3 linked regions of the Danio rerio genome follow. The protein of the gene in region 3 purifies or fractionates together with the protein of the main gene of each other region. This does not show direct contact. Links are inferred from orthologs where the notes say so. Each region holds a gene or a part of one and is shown on either strand. Other genes may lie near its edges.

The links.
Region 1: the proteins of sem1 (region 3) and rad23b purify together in Homo sapiens (co-immunoprecipitation; 3 studies listed by BioGRID and IntAct, with this or other methods). This does not show direct contact. The link is inferred for Danio rerio from reciprocal best matches to the Homo sapiens genes SEM1 and RAD23B.
Region 2: the proteins of sem1 (region 3) and ube3c purify together in Homo sapiens (affinity purification with western blotting; 3 studies listed by BioGRID and IntAct, with this or other methods). This does not show direct contact. The link is inferred for Danio rerio from reciprocal best matches to the Homo sapiens genes SEM1 and UBE3C.

The regions. Positions count from the first base shown.
Region 1 is NC_133196.1:588,694-592,353, forward strand, and holds part of rad23b (UV excision repair protein RAD23 homolog B), read right to left. Parts: coding exon 3,645-3,660; intron 1,831-3,644; coding exon 1,751-1,830; intron 1,435-1,750; coding exon 1,253-1,434; intron 1-1,252. UniProt on the Homo sapiens protein: Multiubiquitin chain receptor involved in modulation of proteasomal degradation. Binds to polyubiquitin chains.
Region 2 is NC_133182.1:40,969,308-40,972,967, forward strand, and holds part of ube3c (ubiquitin-protein ligase E3C), read right to left. Parts: intron 3,655-3,660; coding exon 3,503-3,654; intron 3,427-3,502; coding exon 3,239-3,426; intron 1-3,238. UniProt on the Homo sapiens protein: E3 ubiquitin-protein ligase that specifically catalyzes 'Lys-29'- and 'Lys-48'-linked polyubiquitin chains.
Region 3 is NC_133194.1:44,123,061-44,127,191, forward strand, and holds the start of sem1 (26S proteasome complex subunit SEM1), read right to left. Parts: upstream 2,943-4,131; 5' UTR 2,583-2,942; coding exon 2,507-2,582; intron 2,035-2,506; coding exon 1,941-2,034; intron 1-1,940. UniProt on the Homo sapiens protein: Component of the 26S proteasome, a multiprotein complex involved in the ATP-dependent degradation of ubiquitinated proteins.

The sequences.
Region 1 (3,660 bases), on a different chromosome or scaffold from region 3:
CCTGACAGGTGTAGTGGCAGGTGCTGGGTCACTGCTGGGGGTGTGTGTGTGTGTGTGTCTACCTGACAGGTGTAGTGGCAGGTGCTGGGTCACTGCTGGGGGTGTGTGTGTGCGTCTACCTGACAGGTGTAGTGGCAGGTGCTGGGTCACTGCTGGGGGTGTGTGTGTGTGTGTGTGTCTACCTGACAGGTGTAGTGGCAGGTGCTGGGTCACTGCTGGGGGTGTGTGTGTGTGTGCGTCTACCTGACAGGTGTAGTGGCGGGTGCTGGGTCACTGCTGGGTGTGTGTGTGTGTGTGTGTCTACCTGACAGGTGTAGTGGCAGGTGCTGGGTCACTGCTGGGTGTGTGTGTGTGTGTGTGTGTGTCTACCTGACAGGTGTAGTGGCGGGTGCTGGGTCACTGCTGGGTGTGTGTGTGTGTGTCTACCTGACAGGTGTAGTGGCGGGTGCTGGGTCACTGCTGGGTGTGTGTGTGTGTGTGTGTGTGTGTGTGTGTGTGTGTGTCTACCTGACAGGTGTAGTGGCGGGTGCTGGGTCACTGCTGGGTGTGTGTGTACCTGACAGGTGTAGTGACGGGTGCTGGGTCACTGCTGGGTGTGTGTGTGTGTGTGTGTGTGTGTCTACCTGACAGGTGTAGTGGCGGGTGCTGGGTCACTGCTGGGTGTGTGTGTACCTGACAGGTGTAGTGACGGGTGCTGGGTCACTGCTGGGTGTGTGTGTGTGTGTGTGTGTGTGTGTGTGTCTACCTGACAGGTGTAGTGGCGGGTGCTGGGTCACTGCTGGGTGTGTGTGTACCTGACAGGTGTAGTGACGGGTGCTGGGTCACTGCTGGGTGTGTGTGTGTGTGTCTACCTGACAGGTGTAGTGGCGGGTGCTGGGTCACTGCTGGGTGTGTGTGTACCTGACAGGTGTAGTGACGGGTGCTGGGTCACTGCTGGGTGTGTGTGTGTGTGTGTGTGTGTGTGTGTGTCTACCTGACAGGTGTAGTGGCGGGTGCTGGGTCACTGCTGGGTGTGTGTGTACCTGACAGGTGTAGTGACGGGTGCTGGGTCACTGCTGGGTGTGTGTGTGTGTGTCTACCTGACAGGTGTAGTCGCGGGTGCTGGGTCAATGCTGGGTGTGTGTGTGTCTACCTGACAGGTGTGGTGGCAGGTGCTGGGTCACTGCTGTGTGTGTGTGTGTGTGTGTGTGTGTGTGTGTACCTGACAGATGTAGTGGCGAGTGCTGGGTCACTGCTGGGTGTGTGTGTCTACCTGACAGGTGTGGTGGCGGGTGCTGGGTCACTGCTGGGTTTCTCCTCGCTGGGTTTCTTCTCTTCTTCAGACGGACTCTCAGATACTGGAGCTGCAGACGGAGCCGCAGACGCTGATGCTGTAGTGCTGGAGGAAGAAGAGGAGGAGGAGGAGGGAGGAGCCGGCGCAGACGCTGACTTAGGCTGCACACACACAATAACACATCACATTCTCAGTATTCACTCAGCATTACAAACTAGGGCTGGGTGCTTTTGTTTCTATGTAAGTGCATCACTCATGCATAATAAACAAACACACAACTGTTTAATCCCCTTATAAAAGTCATCAGTGCACAAGAGTTCCCCTTTATACACCGCTTCAATCTCTAAACAATAACATGTATTACTCCATTACATTATACTTGTGTATGTTTTATGAATTCCTCTTTAACATTTGAAATGTCATTACCCAAACGCATCGTAAATACCTCTGCACAATCACACACTGATAAAGCCTCACCTTTGTGACCATAACCACCACGAAGTTCTTCTCGTCTATCTTGTACTCCTTGAGCGCCGTGTCATCGCTCAGGATTTTACCTGCAACAATAATTCAAGTAAACAGCACATGACTCATCAACTCTCAACCTGTCAATCATCTGTCAAACTCCAGCCCTGCATTAACACTTATTATACATCACGGCATTATGAGCAAGGCAAGTTTATTTATTTGGCATGTTTTATATGCAATGGTAAATTAAAGTAGTTATACAAGCAAGCAGATTTAAAGAATAAGACACAACATTAGGGCTAAACAATATATCGCTTCAGCATTGATATGGCATTGTGTGAATCTGCAAGGATCACACTACAGGATCTGCAATGTTAAATTGGGATTATAATAACCAGCAACACAGTTCACTGCAATCTTTAACCCCAACAGAATGAAAGTTGTTCATCTCAGATGTGTTTTAAGACCCATGTCAAGACTTCCAAGTTAGTTTAAACCATTTAGGCACAAGAAATTATAACGTTTGTGGCTTTAACGATGATTTAATCACACAATAAAGACTATAAAGTATCATTTTAGATTTAATTATTGAATTACTGTTCTGTTTGACTTCAAAAGATCATCTGTGCTATATTGCATTTATATATGCTTTTAACGTCATTATATTTTGCAGATGCACATGCATGCAAAATCATCCCAATCAATCTAAATTAATGACTTCTTTCCAAATAGAGCTATCAGGTGAAATGTTATAGTTATATCGTTCTTATATTTACACACCCATATTATAATATAGAATTGCTAAAAACCAAAATATCACAATGTCTGATTTTTCCAATACAATGAGGTATAAGAACTAAACAACAAATGCAGACTATGGGGAAATCCCCTGTAACAGCAGGCCACATCCGTCCAATCTAACACTGGAAAAAAATGGCCCATTTTCACTGAGTGGTTTGGTTCAGTACGCTTTTATGGCGTTTTACACTGGTAACCATACCCTACCACTTTTTGGGTACCCTTTCGGAAGGTTAACAGAGATACGTCACTCACTCATGCAAAGAGTCAGAAGAATGAAAACAAAGGAATTGCTATTTTCAAAAACACAGCTGAGACATTACACCATAATAATATATACAACAAGCCATGGTCGAGCCGAGCTCAAACAAACTGTCGTCATCTTGATGTACAGCCACAAAACCAAGAAGAAGAGCAGAACTACCCTGTGCCCCATAGTTGTTTACAAGGCTGACCATATCCTGAGCGGTTTCACTTTCTGCTTGTGCTCACCGCACGTCTTTATTTAAAATAACAAACTTCTTGAGCTGATGACAATAACATGCCTGATTATTGAAGAGCCTCTGACATCTGATCCTTTCAGAAGCGGACAAACACAAGAGTGAAGCGTGAAAAAACAAAGGAGAAGCCTATAATGAACTGGGAATGACGGAAACACTTTCTAACAGAGGCTACATGTGCTGACGAAGGACTAAATGTCTGCTGTGTGTAGTCTTTTCTGTAATTGGTCACATATCAGAAACTGTAAGGGTCTGTATGCGTTTATATGTTTATATAATCAGACATTACAGTAGGCTATTGCACACGGTCATTGATCTGCAGTTATAATCAGATCATGTTGATAGAAAGATTAGTAATGAACATTTATACAGTATTTATGTGTATAAAGCTGTTTTGTGAGAAGTGCTTCTCAAATGATCTGTGAACGACCCGTGCAGCTTTACTGTAGACATTCCCTCTAGCAAGAATGACGTCGACTGAAACTTTCGCTCATACAGTACGCCCGCCTTTGGTACCCTTTCGGCAGTACAAACGCAAGCCTAATAAAGGTGATCCGTACCATGTACTGTACCACTCAGTGGAAACGGGTGAAAAAAGGACTCACCTGCGTATATCAACTT
Region 2 (3,660 bases), on a different chromosome or scaffold from region 3:
CTAATACTTGCTCTGAGATTGTTATATTTATGTTTTATTTATGCTTTGTCATTTATTTTAAAAGTTTTGAAATTGCTATAGTAATGGAGTTGAACTAAACATCAACTAAAACTTTCATTTTTTATTAGAAAATGCAAAATGTCAGCTTTTAAGAACTGCATTAGCTAACAGGGATTTGGACATACTGTGATAAATCAATTTGTAAATCTTTTAAATAAAAGTTGTTGTTTTTTTTTAAATAAAAAAATTGGAAGAAAAAAATGACCTAGAACTAGATGGCCTTAGGGGATTTTTTTAAGAATTGATTTCAATACATAATGCAGAAATCGTAGATCTCTAATACTGAGAACACATCATAAGCTCGCTGTGAGCACTTATTCTGCAGGATTAAAGGCACTACATGTGTGGAATCTTCAAAATAGTTCTGATTTAGCTGATTGGCACTGCCTTTTAATGCACAGTGCCTTTATCAATATCCTTTCCTCATTAAACCAGACAAACTTCTCTTCCCTGTCTTCTTACATCCATCTCTTCTCTCCATCACTCAGTTTACTCAAACTGAAATCCTGGTCTCATTTTGTCAACATTGCAGGATCAGAAGTACGTAGAGGAGAAAGGATTGTAGAGGAGAGCACATTACACTAATTGATGACTGACAGCAACTAAAACTGCCCTGGCAATTAAAAGAAAAGAAAAAAAGATTAGATTTAATTGTCTGTGTCTTCAGAATTGTTACTGCTTTTAGGTTTTAAAAACTAGCAGTAGGAAGGATCAAAAAAGTAACACAGCCTGCTCAAATGCTTTAAGGGTCACGAAACACCAAAACGCATGTTTTGAGCTGTTGACAGTCGTATATGTGTCCCACACTGCTAAAAACACTATTAGGACACCTATATTTCACTAAAAAGTGTAAATTGGTTGTTTTTGCGTTATTTCAAGCAAATTCGTACTTCCGGTTTGAAACGAATTTTTAAAGCTGTGTCAAGGGTCATGACATAATAGCGTTGTATTCCAGCGTGCAGACTGGGCGTCTGTGCCAGAGTGAGTCTTATTACGTCTTACAGTGTGTTGCATAAATGCATGAGTAAAGCTTGGTTAAACCAATCAGCGCGCTCTATTGTGCAACTTTATTAATATTCATTAGTGTCACCGTATTTACACGACAGAGACGCCACGTTGTGTTGGCAAAACAAGCGTGAAGTGTTGCTTTTATAGTTTGCTGCCGTTAAGTTTTGTTTTCATTTTCTCTCTGTGAGAGCTCAGAGTCACGTGTGGATTAACAGTCTACGCGACGCTCGACAACAATAACTTACGTGTCTAAGGAGGATTATTGTTTACCTGAGAGCTGTTCTCATCTGCAAACGCTGAGATCCGGATTCGCTTATAGTCTTCTCTTAATAAAGACACGGCTCTAGCTGCTGTTGATTGTCCTGTCTCTACAGATTTGGTAAGTGAGCAACCAGTGCTCTGTTTATTCAGTTTGTTCGTATTGAACTAAGTTAACTATTGCACCGAGTGTAAACATGTTAATACCACAACCAAACTTTAATCTCGTGTAGGGTTTTTACCGCATTTAGTGACCGGAATAACACACACGGCTTTCTGACGCTACCTGCCGTGTGCATCTAAGTTTCCGGGAAATGCTGAGGGTTTTTTTCTCTCATTCGCCGTGCGGTATCAAACATTGCATGAAAAATACACGCTTAGAGCAGTTCCTCGAATCAAATATCTCGTTTGTCGCGAGGGGCATGAATGAATTCCCTGAATGAAAGAGCCAAACAGCAGTTAAAGTCCAACATTTAATAATTTGGCAAATAATTCGACTACAGATGTCCATGTAGGTTAAACACCATCACTTTCTCCTGTGTGTTGATTTTGACTCTGAAACTCACGCGTGCCTAAATAGACACTCCCACACCATCCCACTTTAGTTCCTCCGACACTCCCCCCTAAACAGAGCTGGACACGCCCACTTTTCTGACTTTTTCCAAAGTAGAGGTGTGAAAACACCCTGCTGAAACGAGGGGGTTTCATGGCCCTTTAAGGACAGTTTAATGTATTTCCATTTAATGGACATCTACAGCTCTTTCAAGACTTAAGAAAAAAACCTATCTTGCAACAAAAAGGTTTTCTCTGTGCACTGAATCAAAGTCTAAATGTTAAGCCCATAGGTTAGGGTTAGTGATTAACTAAAATGAAATTGCAAACACAGTTTAGAAAGATGCAAGTTATTAAAGATGTAATGCAATGGAAAATCAGCATCAAAACCCCCTAAAAAAAATTCTAGATGTACTTGGCCAAAAACTGTAACTACTTGGTAATAATTATTTATTATTTAATAAAAAAAATTAATGTTGTCAGATTTTTTAGAATTTAACTTAAACAATACTGATTTTATTTTTTTATTTAAGACAATAGTCACATTTTATTGACATTAGTCACTTTACCAGCTTTGCCATGACAACACACTATTGCATGCAGGAGGAACAAGTACACTATGTAAAAATGTCCTGACAGCAATTTACTTGAGCAGACTTTGCTTTTCCAGGTAAGCTTGTGTGTTACATGCATAGAAATATTAACTGGTACATGAGCAGAATATTCACAGAGCGGAAAATTTTGCTATTTCAAACTGCGACTTTGGCTGGTTTCATAGAACATATCATTCCACATCCAGTGTGAAATCTGCACAGCACATCTAAGCCTTTATTTTGACTAAGACTTTATTTTTGATATTTTTCTCTATATCTTTTTCTGCTGCTAATTTTCATTGCCTGAAATTTCAGTGCATCCCTAATTTTCATGCACATCTTGTCAGGAAAGCACGGTTGAGTGATCAATAGCCCACACTCTCCACCAATGGAAAAGAAATCCAGGTAATTTCCATCTGTTGAGCATTTTAACACAGTGTTTAAGAACTTCCTCAACAGGGCGTAAAAAGAAAAAAAATCATTATTCATTGGTGCTGAAGTCAATACTTTTGACAACCCTAACAATAACAGCTGTAACTATGACAGAACTATTATTGCAATGTCATATTCAATTAAATTGTTTTTGCGTAGCTTGTCAGTGAACTACAACTCCGTGTAGTAAAATCTCCTCCATCTGACACCTCATGCTGGAGGCTTACTAGAACTGGCTTTACCAACAAAATAAAAATTGCCTTTGATTCATCGCCCTCAATGTGATGATGACTGTGAGGTTAATTTACTAGGTTTTAGTCTATTGTGTATCTGACCTGACTCGTGGCACCATCATACGGTGTTGCACCATCAACGTGTGACAGATGGAGGCCATCATGGTGAAGACATCTTCACTTGCCGAGTCTCTCCACACTAATGTTAACAGAGCATTAGTCTGCTGCTTGGTGTCCAACTTCTGTACACATTCCTCCGTTATGTAATGCACAGATATCCAACTGCCATCCTTTAAAAAAATGACACAATTGATCAAAATGTAAACTATGCTGTAAAGATGTGAATAAGCGAGAACGCGCATGTACCGGTGCTGCAGGATGCTGTACGGTCATTTCCTCCTCATCTTCTGAATCACTGTTGATGTCAGCTCTACTGTTACACTCTGTCACTGGCAACAAAGGCAAAAGCGTCTGTAGAGCATTCAGGTATAACAGCAACCCTTCCTCTGAGAGTGAACCTACGG
Region 3 (4,131 bases):
ATAACTATTAGGGCTGTGCGTTTTGGGGAAAATATCTAATTGCGATTTGTTTTTTTGACAGATATTGCTATTGCAATTTGATTTGTGATTTCATTTTGTAGTCAAGCTTCAGCTCAATAATCTGCAAGTAATAGCAACAATTCTGCAACAGCTCTTAAAAATGACCTGGTTTGGTTCAGTGTCTGCGAGTTTGAAACCAAAACATTCGCATATTAACAAATGCTGTTTTTCTTTTATGTTAATTCATTATTGCTTTTGAAACAGCAGATACCATTATCCCACTTGTCTGCGCTTTCCTGTTTTTGTTTTTTATCATGGGCGTTTCGCAGAGTTCAATTCTATTCAATTCTGATTGGGCAGAAAGTGTGCTCACTCAATTAGATAGTAAGAATTCACACACAGACGGCAATCTCGCATTTGCTCTGGGCGGGGGAAATGAAATAATCCAAAAATATTGTACATAACTAAATGCTAATTTCAAATAAATCGCACAGCCCTTATAACTGTTAGTTTTTATAGTGCTGGAAATCAAATGGGGAATTTGTGAGAAATGTCAACAGATTTATTGCTTATATATAGGCCCATATGAAATCTGTGCACACAGATTACCACAGATTTTTATTCCACCACTGAGTCCATTTATTTACTTGTGTAAATGTGAGTAAATTTATATTTATTTAGTTTTTTTAATCAATTTCTGTAATAATATTGACCTAATATAAAAAAATTGGTCTTTTGATTTATTCACAATACAATTTTTAAAGTAATAATTTCTGTCTTTTATTGGATATTTTATGACAGACTTGTGTTGTTTACCCAATAAATGGATCTACATATATGAATTTGCATTTTAAGCACTAAAAAAAAAAAGTTTAAAAAAATATTCTTTTTTTTATTTCATACTTTAAGTTTTGTTACAGTTTTACTAAAATCATTATGCATAAATCCACAGATTTTTAAAATAATTCTGCGCAGAAATAACAAAAAATGTCTGGCTTTATTTATAAGCATCAGGAAAGAGAAAATAATGTATTTAATTTAATGTACCGAGAAAAAAAGTTACTTTACTATAATTAGATTTTAGTAATTTTATATAGAATTTTAGTTTTTAATAAGATTTTATTTTCAATTTTCTATTTCCATTTTTAAAAAATTTAAATTCTAAAAATGTGTTTTAATCAACCTTTTAAAAACTGGTATAAATTTATTTGAATTTCTATTTGAGGTATTCTCAAAGATTAGGTTATATTTATGTTTTTATAACTGAGCTCTTTTTATTTTATTTGATATAAAGTTTTTTTTTTGTATTTACAACATTACTTTTTTTTTAACAAATATCCCCATTTAATTTTTATTATTTAGATTCCAGCTTATGTTTTTCCTTATAGTACATACAAAATTTAGTACAAAACTTTTTACATTAGCAACAAACTGATATACCAAAGGTTTATTTATTTATTTTTTACAGATTTTCGAGTGACATTTTTTTATATATAGTTAAATGTTTAATTATAATAACCTTGATAGGAAGCATAAACTATATAACATAGCAACTTACTCTTATATTTTATACTTTTAAACATCTATGTAAGCATATTAAATGCCTGTATGTACTTGGGCCAAGTCCTCACAGATAGTAAAGTTTGTGAATGTGGTTTGAGGCCACCATGAATGTCGGTTAGCCATTGGACTATTAGTTCCCTTAGGGAGGGTTTTCTTCTAAATTAGTTTAACCACACCAAATTCTTTAGACAAAATGTGGGCTTGACAGAAAGTTAATATGCTAGCAGATTATAAGAGACACTAGAACACCATAATGTTTACCAGGAATTGCATACTGTGAAGTTAGATTAAACTAGTATACTCCTTATTTAGTGCAACAATAAAGCATGCCCCGTATTTCATATACATAATTTATACATTGATAATGCATCTCCTACCTCAGCTGATTAGAAAAGTCATCCTCTACGTTGTCGTCATCCCAGTTATCTTCCCAAACATGAGCATCCTCATCTTCATCCAGGCCCGTCCAGTCTGAGAATGAGACAACAGCTCAGTTCAATAAGATGATTAACACGGGCTTCAATGTTGACTTAATGTTAATGCACAAATAAGAGTCACAGAACAGACTGTACAGAGCATTAAACATACATACGTTTAACAAAAGCAGTCATTGACTTCAAATTGAGCAAATGACAAGTGTACACAATGTATAACATTAGCTTCAGAGATGCTAAAATGCTAACTACTAAAACGTTTTTTTTCCACGGCTGTGGACTAACTTAGAACACGCTCAGATGTATTATTTAAAAACGTATAAACAATTTATAATTATTAGATTCCTTTAAAAAACACGATATGTTAACAATTTGCTGTATAAAGAATGTTTTGTCAGTTAGCATGCTACGTTAGCTGTGCTAGCTGAGTCACTGTCCTGTCGTGGATGTTTATTATCTCTAAAACGAGCAAAAAAAAGCTAATTTCTGTTCATTTTCAGTTCACTTACCCTCTGCTGGGAATTCCTCAAATTCATCATCCTCCTCCAAAAGCCCCAAATCCACTGTTTGCTTCTTTTCTGACATGTTGTGTTTCTGTGAACAGCGTGGACACTCGACGTTATGAACTGAGAGAAATGTTCTGGTGCGCATGCGCAAAACCGTGCTACCGATTGCGCCAAGCTTTTTAACATGCACAAGGGCTTCACTGCCTTTTTATAAGCCAAGCAGTTTGAAGTGTTTATATAAAAAGCTTTATATAATAGATATCGCCGAATGAGCCATATGGTTTATAGTAGTCTTCTAATATTATCAACGTGCTTGCAGTATTACAATTATAGATTAAATGTAGGCTACTTTGAAAGTAATCACTGGTGTATTAAAAAAAACAGCGGAACGAACCGCCAACTGATTCAGCACATGCTTTACGCAGCGGATGCGCTTACAGCTGCAACCCATCACTGGGAAACACTTATACACTCCCATTCACACACATGTACTACCGCCAATTTAGCTTATGATGGCTTGCAGCTGCAAGGGGATCCGCTGCGTAAAACATATGCTGGATAAGTTGGTGATTCATTCCGCTGTGGCGACCTCTGATTAATAAAGGAACTAAGAATATGAATGAATGAATGAAATACGCAATAAATATAATATAATATAATCCATATTATAACAATTTAAATATTTGATTTAAAAATTAAGCCTATTATTATTATTATTATTATTATTATATTTTATTATTATTTTCACGTTGTATGGAAAAATATTATAAATATTATTTATATTTATATGTTTTCAATAAATAGATTAATCATAATTGATGTGTTCACATTTTAATTATATGTTTATCAGATTTCATTTTTAAATATTATATCGGATATTATAATAATGTATCCTTTTTGCAAGAAATAGTTAAAAGATTTACCCTTTTTTTTCCAGGAACCACACTGTGAAACCCAACAGTCAACTTGATCACACAAAATGAGTGTAGTTGACTCAAAATTTACTGAAAGTTAGTTCTACTCATTTGAAAAGAGTTTTGAACTCAATGTTTAAACCCATAGTAACTTGAAACTGCACTTGACTTAATTTTTATAATTATGCAAATTGTACTTACTTTTTAAAAATAAAAGTAAACTAATCACTTTTTCCCATTTATTGTATTTAGTTTTTTTCCCCCCAACTTTTCTGTATCTACAGGACAATGACAGTTTCATAAATCTGCTCTTCCAGACTCCAGTGGGTTTTATTACCTTAATACAGGCTATAAGTGTAATTTATAGACTTAATGAAGCATCAAATATGTATTACTGTGATAATTACAGTAATTATTTAAAAACAGACGTGCTAAATTAGTCTGATACTGTAAAAAGGGATTAGTTGACTTTAAAAATTAAGTACAATTAGCATGAATATAAAAATTAAGTCAACTTTACAGTTCCAAGTTACAATGAGTTTACTTACATTATTTTTGTAAAGTCAACTTGTTGCTTTTAAGGCAGTTAGTGTACTCGCTTTAAGTAACTAATCACTTTTTACAGTGAAAACGTATTGGGTTTTACAGTACTCAGTTGGTTTGAGTTCTTTTCATTTATTGGAGTTTACTGTGCTCAAATTGGTTCATTTACTC